2 linked regions of the Oreochromis niloticus genome follow. The protein of the gene in region 2 interacts with the protein of the main gene of each other region in a biochemical or structural test. Links are inferred from orthologs where the notes say so. Each region holds a gene or a part of one and is shown on either strand. Other genes may lie near its edges.

Region 1 (6,890 bases), on a different chromosome or scaffold from region 2:
TTTCTGCTCTACCTGTGTTGCCTTTGTCATCTTTCTCTGTCTCTCATTTATACAGTGCTGTGACAAAGTAACACCTGTGTGAGGAAGCACATGTGCACGGTTTATCCACTTATGTTCCGGAGTTCTTCAAATAAAAGCAGTCTGGGTTTCCATAATAAGAGTCTCACTGACATATGGACATACAGTTTCTGTACTGCAAAGCTAAGAGGGCTTTTAATTTGAAACAAATGCAGAAAATGTTGAGTTGAGTCGCTTTAACAAGGTAGGAGAGAATTAAAAATACTAAAAAAAAAAATTAAAAAAAAATACTAAAACAGGACTAATTCATCCCATAAAATACAAGGAATGAGGTAAGCAGAGGTCAAAGATAACACAATGTTAGCGGCGTCAGCGTTAGTTCGTCAGCTGTTCCAAACAACGAACATGTCTTGAATCAGTCCACTCGCATTATAGCAACTTGACAGCTCGGATCATTTCATTTGACTTAATTGGCTCTCTTTCATCAAATGCACTCCAGGGATGACTGGATTTCAAGGAGAGTGAATAAATAAGCTCCAAAATGTACCTGATGTTTTATTCAGTAAGAACTGAAACCAGGTCTGCCATAGACTGGTCACCAGTCCAGGGTGAAAGAAAATGGATGGATGGATAGAGTCACTTCAGTCACTTTAATTTTAATTTTAAAACGGTGAAATTTTAAAAGTGTATATAATGTATATTCTGTGTATTTATTATCTCATTCTTATTGCCTGTTTATGCCCTGTCCTTATCTTCAACGTCATGCTGCTCTGTTGTATCTATCTTAATTGCCCCTTGGGGATAAATAAAGTCTCTCTGATTCTGATTCTGATAGATTTGAAACTAGGGGCTGAGATCATGAACTCATCAGGAAAGTGTGTAATGAGGTCGGAGATCAGGTGAGGAGTGGGCTCATTTTCCCCTAGACTTCTGTATAATCAGACCAAAGCAGTTGCACCCTGCTGGACATTTGAGTGCTTCTGCATTGGCGTCATGCTTCAGATGCAGTACCAGTATCTGCACCAGGGATGTCAAACCCTTCATTCCTGAGCCACTTATCTTCCAAATTCATCAGCTGTGCTGTATGAGTAAAACCACTCCGTAATAAGTCTTGATGCATGCTCATTCATCTGGACCTGGTGTTTTTAGTGGGAGAAACATTTCATCACTCATCCAAGTGACTTCTTCAGTCTCAGCTGTAAATTTCCCCAATCTTTTACATACATTTGCATAATGACTCAAACTAACCCCACTGGTGAACAATGGGCTGTGAGGTCAGTTTCTTGATCAGCTGATCAAGAGTGACGAAATGTTTCTACCACTGAAAACGCTACGTCCAGATCAACAGAATTGGGCACTCCCTAATAACTTTGAAATCTCCCTTATTGCATTTTCTTTAAGTAAAGGGTTATGGTTGTTATGGTCATGTTAATTTGTTCATGATTCCACACATTTAGAGTACAGATGATCTGGTCTCTTCGGCTTTCAGCCTACATGACTCACACCTGTTGTTGAGCTGTTGACCAAAATGTAGGTCCCTCTTTAAACTCAAGAATCCATTAAAACCCCCTCATATCCCAGCTTTCAAATGCAGCGTGTGTTTCTGGGTCTGTCCAAATGGTGGGAGGTAACGCAAAGAAATATGATGAGTGATGTTGAAATGTGTACATAGCTTCTCTGTATGTGGAAACACAAAATCAGACTTTAATCACCACATTTCTCCATACACATGAGCACATGAATAAATCTGTGAAAGCAGGCTGCTGTGAGAAAAGGCAGCAGGAAATCTGACAGGAAGAAGAAGTATAGGCCAGCTTCAGTCAGGCTGAAGTGTCTTTGAATACATCAGGATTTCTGATGCTGATGAAAACTTTACTTTCCAGAGATGGAGGTAAAACACACTCAGCTGCCCGACCCGTCTTCAGTCTTATATAAGTGTTGTTGCAACATCAGTGAGACTCAAACACATCACTCAGGGAACAAAGAGCTGTCAACATTGAGGTCTGTTTCTAAACTTTCAGCTTCTTTAGGATCAGGATCTGTGCACACATCAAACCTCAGACTAAAAAAAAAAAAACAGTTTCTCACTTTCATTCTGAGGTGACTGTCCATCTGACCATTGAGTGTCTGTGTGCTTCACACATGATTTTAATTATTAATAATAATACTATTGTTATGTAAAACAGTCAATGATCTCGTGGATGCCAAATGTATCATTCTCGCGATCGATTATGAATATTTTGTCCCCTCATGTCCAGCCAGTCTCTCAGACGATCGCCCCTCCCTCAGCCTGGTTTTACTGAAGGTTTCTTTCTGTTCAAAGGGAGTTTTTCCTTTCCAGTGTCGCCAAGTGCCTAATGATTGCTGGCTTTCACTGCTTTATTGCAGGGTACTGCTATTGTGATTTGGCGATGTATAAATCAAGTAGAACTGAATGTATTCTTAGTGGTGGGCTGTTGTGTCTGAAGGCAGATAGACTTCGGTTAAGATGAAGAAGGAAAATCAGAGTCTTCGTTCATTTGAAAGCGTGACCAGGACAGAGACTAAGAGAAGAACTAAAAACAACTTTCTACTCGATTAACTGCTTGGTCGCTAAACGCGCGGCGCCTTTCTCCTGTGTAAGTTCATCAATAGAGGAGCGGCTGACGTTGTTTTACCTGTTCGGCGCTCAGCGCAGCTCCGTGTGTCCGCAGAATGACATCCAGCTGTTTTCAGCTGCAGCTCGCGCGGCGGAGGACGCCTCGTGAACACTCGGTGGGAACTCCGTCTCACCGGAGGCTCACCGGAGGCTCGCGCCCCGCTACTGCCGGCGCGTTTCCGCTTCTCCGCGCTCACAAACCATCCCGGTAATAATCCAGCCTCCCGCCGTGCGCGCACACGCAAGTTTTGCTGAGGGGGTGTGGAGGGTAAGAGGGCAGTCCTGAAAACGCGAACTGAAGCGCGTGCTTGAACCTACGTGTATTCAGTTACCAAAGTGACACATGCTATATATATGTGTGCTCGCAGTGCCCCGCTCCCTCCTTGCCGTGCTCTGCGCACGCTGATAGACTGAAATATTACTTTTAATCAAAAACTTTATATAAATCCGGATAAAGCCGCTCTGCTGACGTGAGCATGTGGATATGGAGCCCCCTGGTGGCCGCCTGCAGCTACTCACTTGGTTTTATTGATTGGATACCGGTACTAGTCAGTTGATTAGTCTGATTGAACCCCGAGTAAAATGACTGTGGGTGAGGGTGATTATGGATTATAGACAGATGGTCGTGTTTCTGCCTTCTGCTCAGTAAAAGTTCAACTTCCATAGAATTATCTAAGATCAGTTAACAAGTTAAATGACTGATCAGTTTCTCATCAAACTTCCAGCATCTCTGAACTCACTGCTGACCTTTGACCTCTTTGCAAGGAGAGATTTTAAAGTTCATTAACAGCCACACATGACGTCACACTGCAAGTGTGTTATTGTTCATAAAGTTAATGCACAACACATACATAGAGAACCAAAGAATGTGTGTGTGTGTGTGTGTGTGTGTGTGTGTGCGTGTGTGTGTATGTGTGTTTTAACAGGATACACCCGGTATACCAGGAAGTCGCTTGGAAACACACAAACTCTCCCTCTCTGTACCTCTTCCTGGAAATGATCACCACCCACCCTCATACTCGGACTCTCTTGCTCTCTTTCTCACATGTATCCTACCTTCCTCCCACTCTCTCCTGTTAATGAAAACACATTAATGTTTCTCTTATTTAACTGTAAAGGTCACACTTGAATACAGCAAGTCGACTCCAAAGAAAGTCAGTAAATACAGTTAAGGTGAGCAGTTTCCTCCTTTTATTCTTGATTCTGTTAGAGACACTGCATGATTCCGTATTCAGAATAATCCTTCTGTGTCTGGGTTATAGTGCACCCTGTTCCTCTCTTTTGATTGGTTGTTCTCTGCCAACAGAACCTTGTAAGTATTATCTTGTGCTGTGGCTACTGGAGAAAAATACAACGTGAAGTTACTGAAAACATGATTTGTGGTTGTTGGTTGGGACTGAACTGTACACCTGAAGGCACAGCTTCATACGGGGATATTGTGATTCCCATATGAAGTGAATGCTGATCTGAAAATAGAAACTTTATCATTTTTTTTCTTCCTTCATACAGGTAAACTAACTATGATGAGATGACTGTGAGGATATCCTCTCTGTTTGACATCATACAGCCAGGGTCACCACAAGGAGGGGCCAGGGGGGACACTGGCCCATCCTAGCAAGGCTGTTGTATGTTGGTATTATTTTAATAAACATGAGGTCAAGAGAGAGGAAGACAGCCTACAATGAGTTGAAACATTAACCTGTTATTTATTCCTGCATATACAATTTTGCCATTCGTATTGTGTCACTTTGTATGTCCCTCATGATTTCCTGTCATAACCTCCTCACCTTTGCTACACCCCTGCGCTGTTTTGGTGTGCTACCCCAATATTTTTAGTGGTCGCCATATGGTCATCCATTGAAAAAATTCAAGAGGCGCCCCTGCACAGCGCTCGCTGAGTGTAAGATGCTGGCAGTGGTTGGAGGAGCATGAGGTAGAAACATGTTTAATATGAACATCCAACCCTGGAACAGGAGACAGCAGACAGCAAGTTGAGAGGAGCACTCAGTCACCGTTAACGGTTTCTTAGTGTCCAGTCGGCACACAAAGTTGTGCCAAGGCTCAGGTCTGACTCTGCTGTGAGGATGAGTGTTATTCCTGAACGAGGAGATCTGAAAACCAAACTTAGCATAAACACATGAATGAATTCAAACTTTATGGACGGCTTTTTTTTTAAAAACAGAACAACAAACTCTTTTCCCAGGCTAAATGAAGATCTTCTAAATTAGTGACACACCATTTCCCTGTCCAGCTTATGGGCTATCTGATTTTTTCAGCAGGTGATGGTTTTGTACCTCTGAAGATTATTTTATAATTTATTTATTTTTAAGGGATTAGTGTTTTTTTAAACACTGTAAATAGTGACTGAAATAAAAGCCATATTTATAGAAATTGTGGAAATTATTTGTCTGCTGAGATATAATCACACAGAATTAATCTCACAGGGAACATTTGTCACAGGAAACTGATTAAACCTCCACAACAACAAAGCCCACAGAGCAGGAACAGTGTGACATCTGGACGTTCGCATATTGTGTGCAGTCTTTTCACCGCTTCTGTGCAAAACCAATCCTAAGCACATCAAGCACTCAAACGATAGCAGAAAATCCAAAAGGCACTAAAGCAAAAACTGCTTTAAAAGGTGAGACACTACAAACAAAAATATGAGTGGCATCTGAAGAGCTTCTGTGACAGCCAGAGGAGTCCACATCTTTTTCACACAGAGCTGCTACCAGCCCAATGTTGTTTGTTAATAAAGTTTTTCAGCTGAAAGGTTTTGTGGAATCTTTTGTTTGTGGAGCCCAGAAAAAATTAAGTCAGACTGAAACATGATGCTGACCATGGCTTGGAGCCGAAACAGGACACAGTTGAGTTATATAACGGCACAAAGCTTCTGGAATTATTGAAGAAGCTAAGAGTCAATTTGTGACTGAAAGGTGTGGACAGGAGGATTTTTGCAGCCTTATGTCAAATGGATTTGTAAGTTTTACTTTCAGGAGGAAAATATTTGTAATTCACAATTGTGTGATCAAAAGTCTGTGGTAAACAATTTACTGCAAACTGCATGAAATCTAACGCTGAAAAAAATCTTCTTCTGCCTGTTGTGGTTGTGATAGCTGCTACCAGAAAGGTTTATGAGGGGGACATATCTTGAGAACAAGTGCATAATCGGCTCAAAGCTGTGAGCTTGTTACCAAAACCAGTGGTGACAGTAACTGAGTGAGTATTAACAGAAAAGCACTGATTGACGAGCTTTAATGATGTTGTTTTACTTCCTTTTGTTCGTCTTCAAATTTCCAATTTAAAAAAACACAGACATGAGAAAGTGTTTCTGGTAACACTTTCTCATGTCTGCAAAACTGCAAACACTTGTGTTTGCAGTTTTTAACAGACAGTAAAACCATTTGTCATGTACACACTCATTCTGCTGCTCTTCTCTGAGGTCACTACATTACATCAATCAAAGTAGCCAGACTGAGCCATGAAAACAACAAAACATGGCAACAGTTTGATAGAAAAGTTTTAAATTCACCCCACTGCTACAATAATGAACAGCACTGGGTACTTTTAATGTAATAACTGAAGAACTTCGTACTCAGTAGCTTCATTAGTGTGGGAGGAAAATTGGAAAATGAAATGAAAAAATATAATTTTCTTTTATGAACTAAATTTTTAATTTTAATTTAAACAAAGTTGTGCACCTTTTAATTTCCGTAGTTTTTCATTTTCTTATGAGAACATTTTATCAAACCAAATTATTTATTTCTGAATGTTTAAATGTTTTGGGAAGAATAAAACGCTGGAAAAATTCAGAAATGTGTCCTGTGTGCCGATGGGATCACCACAACTGGAGCGGGATCAGCTGCAACAGAGACAGATGGCTGAGAGGAGCTGGGGCCATTGCCAGTTGCAGTAGAGAACAGACTGTGCAGACCCAGATCACGGTCTGCTGGGTCATCCTCTAAAGCTGGTGGTGGGACCTCCGTAGGTGGCCACTGATGAGCTTGATCAAGGACCCAGGTATTGTCCAGGGGCTCGCAGCAGCGATAATGCTTTAGCTGGTCATGGTGGACAACTTTCACTCTAGACCTTGGGTTCTTCTGGATCCGATAAACCAGGTCATCCAATTGCCCCAGGACAAAGAATGGTCCTTCATACGATGGGAGGAACTTTTTGACCTTATTCTTGATGTGACGTGTTCCTTTGATGAGATACCATACAGGATCTCCAGTCT
Region 2 (6,218 bases):
GTATTGCTACTTCTATTACTATGGCTGTCTTCTTCTGCTTGTCGACCACCACTATGTCCGGTTGGTGAGCCATCACCATTTTCTCGATCTGTACCTGGAAGTCCCACAGGATCTTAGCTCTGTCGTTCTCCACCACCCTAGGGGGAGTCTCCCATTTTGACCTTGGGACTTTCATTCCATACACAGCACAGATTTTCCTGTATAGTATGCCAGCCACCTGGTTATGGATCTTGAGCTGAGCGCTTGTTTCTGTGCTGCCATAATTAGTGCCTAGTTCAGCCACTGGTAGAATTTCTGGATTTCAGCCACTTCCTCTACATACCGTCTAGGGGCCTTTCCTTCCATGATGACTCTTCCTTTTGCTCCGCTTCTTTCTTGGGTTTCTGTTGCCAGAGTTATTCATTAAGCAAGTGGTCAGTTGTTCCCATCTTCCTGCAGCTTTCCTAGCAGCCTCTTCATGGTTCCTATTTGGCTCTGGGATTCCCAGGTACTTGTTCTTATTTTAGTGTCTGCAATGTTGCCTTCTGGTAGAATGATCTCCTCAGTTCTGACTACCTTCCCTCTTTTTGTTACCATCCAACTACACTTCTGCAGTCCAAACAACATCCCGATGTCATTGCTGTAGATCCTCACGGTGTGGATCAGTGAATCGATGTCTCATTCACTCTTGGCATACAGCTTAATATCATCCATGTAGAGGAGGTGGCTGACCACTGAGCATTGCTGTTATGTGTTGCATCCTTTTCCCATATGCTCTTCCAGCACTGCTCCATCTCAAGCCTTGGTGGTGGCGTTCTCATATTGTTCTCTTGCCACTGAGAGTACACCTTGGATGGTTCTGTGGAGAACAGCTGGTTTATTGTCCTGCCCTCTATCTCTCCGGTGTACCTCTTCAAGAGGCTGGCCAAGGCTGTGAGTCTTTGCTTGGCAGTTTCCATGGCCTCAGGTATGAACAGCTTGCTGTAATTCTTAGGCACCTTCTTCATCGCACCTTTCTGCAGTTCCGATAGTTGGCTAACCTCCCTCCTGGCTAACTTGATCCTAGCCTCTGTTCTATTTCTCCACGGAGGGTACTGCTCCTTGTGGCTATTCATTTTGTAGCCAAGCATCTCACTGATCACTGCTGCCGTGGTGTAGATCAGCTGGTTAGTCTCGGTAATGGTGGCAGTAGGTATCGTCCGTAGTGCTGCATTCACATCATCTAGTAGACCTTCAGAGGGTACTTCACTTAATCTCGTCAGGTTGGTACACAGCTGACAGCCCTATTTGACAACTGTTCAATTATTGTCAGACCCCTAACAAGATGGCGCCTGTTATTGGCAATGCCACTGTCAGGGTCTCTATTTTTCTGTTTTTTATGGCATTACATATTTTGCTGCTGTCTGTGTATGAGATTACAGCTACCTACGTTTAAACCTTATTTCAGATTAAGTTAGCAATGGAGTCTATGGATGAAAATGGGAAACACTTTGGAGGCTTCCCTTCACCATTTGGGCGATCAGCTGTTACCCATAACCTCCAATGGTTGCTTGTGTTATGCAGACTCTTTCCCTGACAAAGAGTCGTCAGGGGAAGTGAGGAAGGAGAGTGGGCATCCAAGTGAGATTACAGAAATACAAGAGTAGCGGTGATTTAGCGTCCTTCTTGGCGCTCCCGGTGTTGGATGTTTTAGCTAAAACGGACCTCCAGCTGAATGTATGGCTTCTCCGCAGAGGTTTTGGCAGGACACCGTGTTTGAGACCAGTTTTCCCACACCATGTGAGTGACCATTTCATTGTCCCACGGCTTATGAGAAACCATATGAAGTCCTGGGGAGTGTACAGGGCACACTTGCACCAAGCCCCTTAGGATTTAACCAGAGATGCTTCAGCCTGGCCGATTAAGACGACAATATTAAACTCCTGTTCAATCTCAGTGAATAGCATTGTCTCTCCTCCAACTCCGTGTACACCTGTCTTTTCAGATATGGATTGCAATGACTTTTAAAGATTTTTCCAAGATAAGATCAACCTTAGAGGAAACATGTCTCCCTTAGATAGCCCCTTCAACTGTGATCTCCCACACCCCATAATTATGGAATCTTTTCACCCAGTTTTGTTAAAAGATCAGAAATACTAACTCAAATGAAACCCTCAACAAGTCCAGCTGATGTCTTACCTACTTCTCTGTTTCTTAAAGTTTTTGACACCACTGGGCTCTCTCTGGTCACATTGAAAAACTGTTCCCTGCTACCTTGCTCTGTCTCCAGGTGCTTTAAACAGGTGGTTATTCAACCTCTGCTGAAAAAGCTTAACCTGGATTTGACACTTCAGACAAGCTACAGACACAGCTCAAAACTTTTTTCATTACTACAGTATCAGAAAAATCATTTGGTCACAAGTAAAGAAGGCACTGGAGAAGGATAATATTCTTGATAACTTTCAACTGGGTTTTAGAAAGTTACACTCCACAGAAACAGCTCTCATCAAAGTCACAAATTACCTTTTGATGGCCGCAGACATGGGTGACCGGTCAGTCCTTGTTTTATGGGACCTTAGCTCAGCCATTTACTGTTGATCATCAGATCATAATCTACCGCTTAAATCATATGGTAAGGATATCTGAATCTGTCCTAAAATGGTTCCCCTCATTTCTGGCGGATATAACACTTTTGGTTTCAGTAGGAAGCTTTCAGTCAGATGAAGCTGAATTTTCATGTGGAGTTCCACAAGGATCGGGTTTAAGCCCCTTGTTATTTTCATTATATATTCTGCCTTTAAGCCTTATCATTAGTAGTTCCAAAATTATTTCCTACCATCTGTATGTAGACAATATCCAACTGGACATCTCCTTTAAACCCTGTGAATTAAACAAATTAGCTGTTCTAATGGACTGTCTTAGTGCGATTGATGGTTGGATGACAAACAAAAGACTGTGTGTTTAATTCTTGCTCCAGAGATTATCAAGCCCTAAATCAGGCAACATCTGGGTTCTTTCTCATCCACGGTAAAAGCTAATGCTCGGAATCTCTAGTTAATTTTTTTTTTATCAATCTCCGTCTTTTGATATTCATATCAATTCTGTGACCTGCTCTCACTTTTTTCATTTAAGAAATATCGCCAAACTCATGAGTATTGTCTCCAAAGGTGAACTGGAGATGCTTGTTCATGCCTTCATCTCCTCCCGATTAGATTATTGTAATGCACTCGATTACTGGCTTCGCTGGCTGGCTTCGCTGCCAGCCTCTGTCACACCAGTGGCTCTGTTTAGATGATGGGCTCCTCTCCGGCCCCAGCCACTACTGGAATAGGTAATGCATGATTAAATGATGCTTGTCGGTTGTGAAGATCAGCCTCCCCTGCATCCACACCCTGAACCCGCTGCTCCACCCCACCACTGCTGGATTCACCTTCTTATTTGGATTCAGGGCTGAACCTGCTCTCATCTGCAAGGAAATTTGAGGTACCAATGGTAGACCTGCTAGTTCTAGTGTTTTCTGGGTCCATTCATGACAGTTTTGTCTGAAAAATGCACTAGTGGCTCACTGGTGGTCATTTTGTAGGACTCTGGCAGTGCTTCTCCTGCTCCACCTTGCCCCAAACCCAAATACTGTGATGATCCTTTCATTTTTTTAGAGGAGTTTATTCTGAAGTTACTTTGTTTACAAAAAAGTGAGATTTTTGTTGTTGTTGTTATTAATGAACTTATTGTTTTTCTTGTTTGTGTTCATTCAATTAATGAGGATTCTGTGACTTGGTGGTCCAAATGATACTGCTTCAATAATAAATACAGTTTTATTTATTTACACTTGCCAAAATCCCAGCAGTGAGTTTGACAGTTACTATAACTGCATGAAATATAAAAGACTTCCTGTACTTGTCTGTGTGAAAGCAGAGCTGAGCAACATCAGTCTTTTAGAGACAGTACTTCACCTAAATTCATAATCATTTAATTCACTGCTATATTTGATTAAAGTTATCACAAGGCAGTGACTTGTGAGTGATATGTGTAGTGTTTTGTTTTTCCTTTGCTTCTCACAGCAGGTCAGCAATGACAGTTCAGTTTATTCTCATACATATTCTGGATGCAACATCAATTCAAGAAAACACCGACAATTAAAAATGTTGTAATTATCCAAAGGTGACAGACTTTAAAATACGCTTTCAAGAAAAGAACATTAGGCAGTGTAAACATCACATCAGCAGATTGGACTCCTCATTTTTGCCACTATTCCTGCCACTAAAAGATGATCTCTCAGAACAATTATCAGCAGGCGACCGTACAACTATTACATATGTGTCTTCATTTAGTAACACTATCATGTTGTCACATTAGTTTACTACTTCCTGTAACTCAGTGACAACAGTGTCCCGTGTGAGGTGGGAAGGCTCTGGAGAATGTTTCTCAAGCAAAGTAGCATATGGAAGCAGCTATGTCATAAGAATACTAGCATACAATGCTTTAAAAGGAGCATTTTCCGACAGCTCGTGTTATCAGAATTAGGTGTCAGGCATGCCGGTCCAATTCCTGGCATACCTATGTGTGTTAACCTTAAGTATAAAAGAGAGTGCTGCTGTTGGCTCCAGCATCCAAACACCTACAAGTCAAAGAAGAAAAAGAGAATTTATCCATTCATCCAACTACTAACACGAACAGCAGCAACTCAGAGCATCATGCGTCTGTCTTCTATGTGGCTCTGTAGCCTCCTTCTCATTTTAAAGCTGCAGCTGACTAGCATGTATCCCATCAGTACTGGCTTGACTGACACTGACATGGACATCTTGAAGGTAAGTCTCCTCACACTAACTTTTTCTTGAAAAGGTTGAGTCTGCCTGGGAATTTTAGGCAATCTGTAGCAGCAACCAGAACAAGGAACTCAATTTTATTTATAGACTTTAATGTTAGTTATTCACGTAAGATGTTGAACAACATCCTGCATTTCCTTCCATAGCTGTTCCCAATATTTAGCCTTGATATCTCATGTGATAAAGCATAGAGTCTGATCATTTTCATCTTACCTGTGCTCCAATATTGCTTCTAATAATCTCAATAAACTGAGACATAAATTGTTGACAAATACATTTGAGTGCCTCTGTCTATCCTCATGGCATAGTTAAATTGCCATGTTTATTATTTAAGACCCAGTACAACTTTCATCTGTGTGGATCTTTAAAGGTGCTCCTCAGCAGACTGGAGGAGTCTGTTTCAGAACAAATGGCAGTGGACCAAAGTGCCCCTGGACAGAGGGATCTTCTAGACAGCCTGAGCACAGAGGACGCAGGAGATGGACCTCAGCCAGACGCTGGACTAGATGAAGCTGAAATCCGGGAGTTTCTTTCAGCCAAGAACCTCAAGAGTGTCCGCAATGATTCATCTAGGAGATCTTCTGGTTGCTTTGGGCGACGGATGGACAGAATAGGCTCCATGAGCTCTCTGGGTTGCAACACTGTGGGAAGATACAGTAAGTTACAGTAACTTCACTACAATAAGGTTAGAGTAATGTAGCACAGATTTAACTCTTACTCTCTTACTCTTCTCTTGCAGATCCAAAGCAAAGATGAAGTCTTACCATCTAAATTCCAAAACTGCAACGTCTCTACACAAAGATACTTTTATTTAAAGGCTATTTATTTACTAATATTTATTAAATACTGTTGCTCAGCAGAATATTTAAAAAAAATGGAACCAAAACTGTTCCTTGTGTACTGTTGAATGTTTTAATAAATGTTTACAAATGCAGGTCATTGGCCCTCATCACTGACCATCAGACACAGCCAGCATATTTCAAAAAGACACTAATGTACGGGAGACTTTTCCTTTGAACTGTCAAATATAAAAACACAAACTGAAACATGTAGTGTCGTCTTAATGAAGAAGCTCTTGTCATTCTGAGTAACTAGCAGGAGCAGGGAGCTCTATGCAGGACGTTTATATACAGAATTCATTTGATAACAGATTTATTTTAATGTCTTCATAAAAAAAATGATCTGACACAGACCGCGCATGAACATTAATGAATATCCTGAACTATTTATTGGTGATAATGATTTTCCATTCCCATTTATTTCACTGCCAGTGCATTACTGGTGATCAGCTGAGTAGTTTAGTGCATACGGTCTTAGCTTGGCACCTGATTGTGTCTTCGAGGTTGTTTAAAGGCTTTCTAACAAGGAAATGATGTACAGTGAATTACAGTACAGCTGAGCACTCCATCATCAGTGCTCCACTGATTAAAGCTA

The links.
Region 1: the proteins of nppb (region 2) and npr1a form a complex in vitro, tested with the Homo sapiens proteins (2 studies listed by BioGRID). The link is inferred for Oreochromis niloticus from reciprocal best matches to the Homo sapiens genes NPPB and NPR1.

The regions. Positions count from the first base shown.
Region 1 is NC_031985.2:34,509,238-34,516,127, forward strand, and holds the start of npr1a (atrial natriuretic peptide receptor 1), read right to left. Parts: upstream 3,023-6,890; 5' UTR 2,676-3,022; intron 1-2,675. UniProt on the Homo sapiens protein: Receptor for the atrial natriuretic peptide NPPA/ANP and the brain natriuretic peptide NPPB/BNP which are potent vasoactive hormones playing a key role in cardiovascular homeostasis.
Region 2 is NC_031984.2:35,529,949-35,536,166, reverse strand, and holds nppb (natriuretic peptides B), read left to right. Parts: upstream 1-4,560; 5' UTR 4,561-4,652; coding exon 4,653-4,766; intron 4,767-5,154; coding exon 5,155-5,440; intron 5,441-5,523; coding exon 5,524-5,540; 3' UTR 5,541-5,718; downstream 5,719-6,218.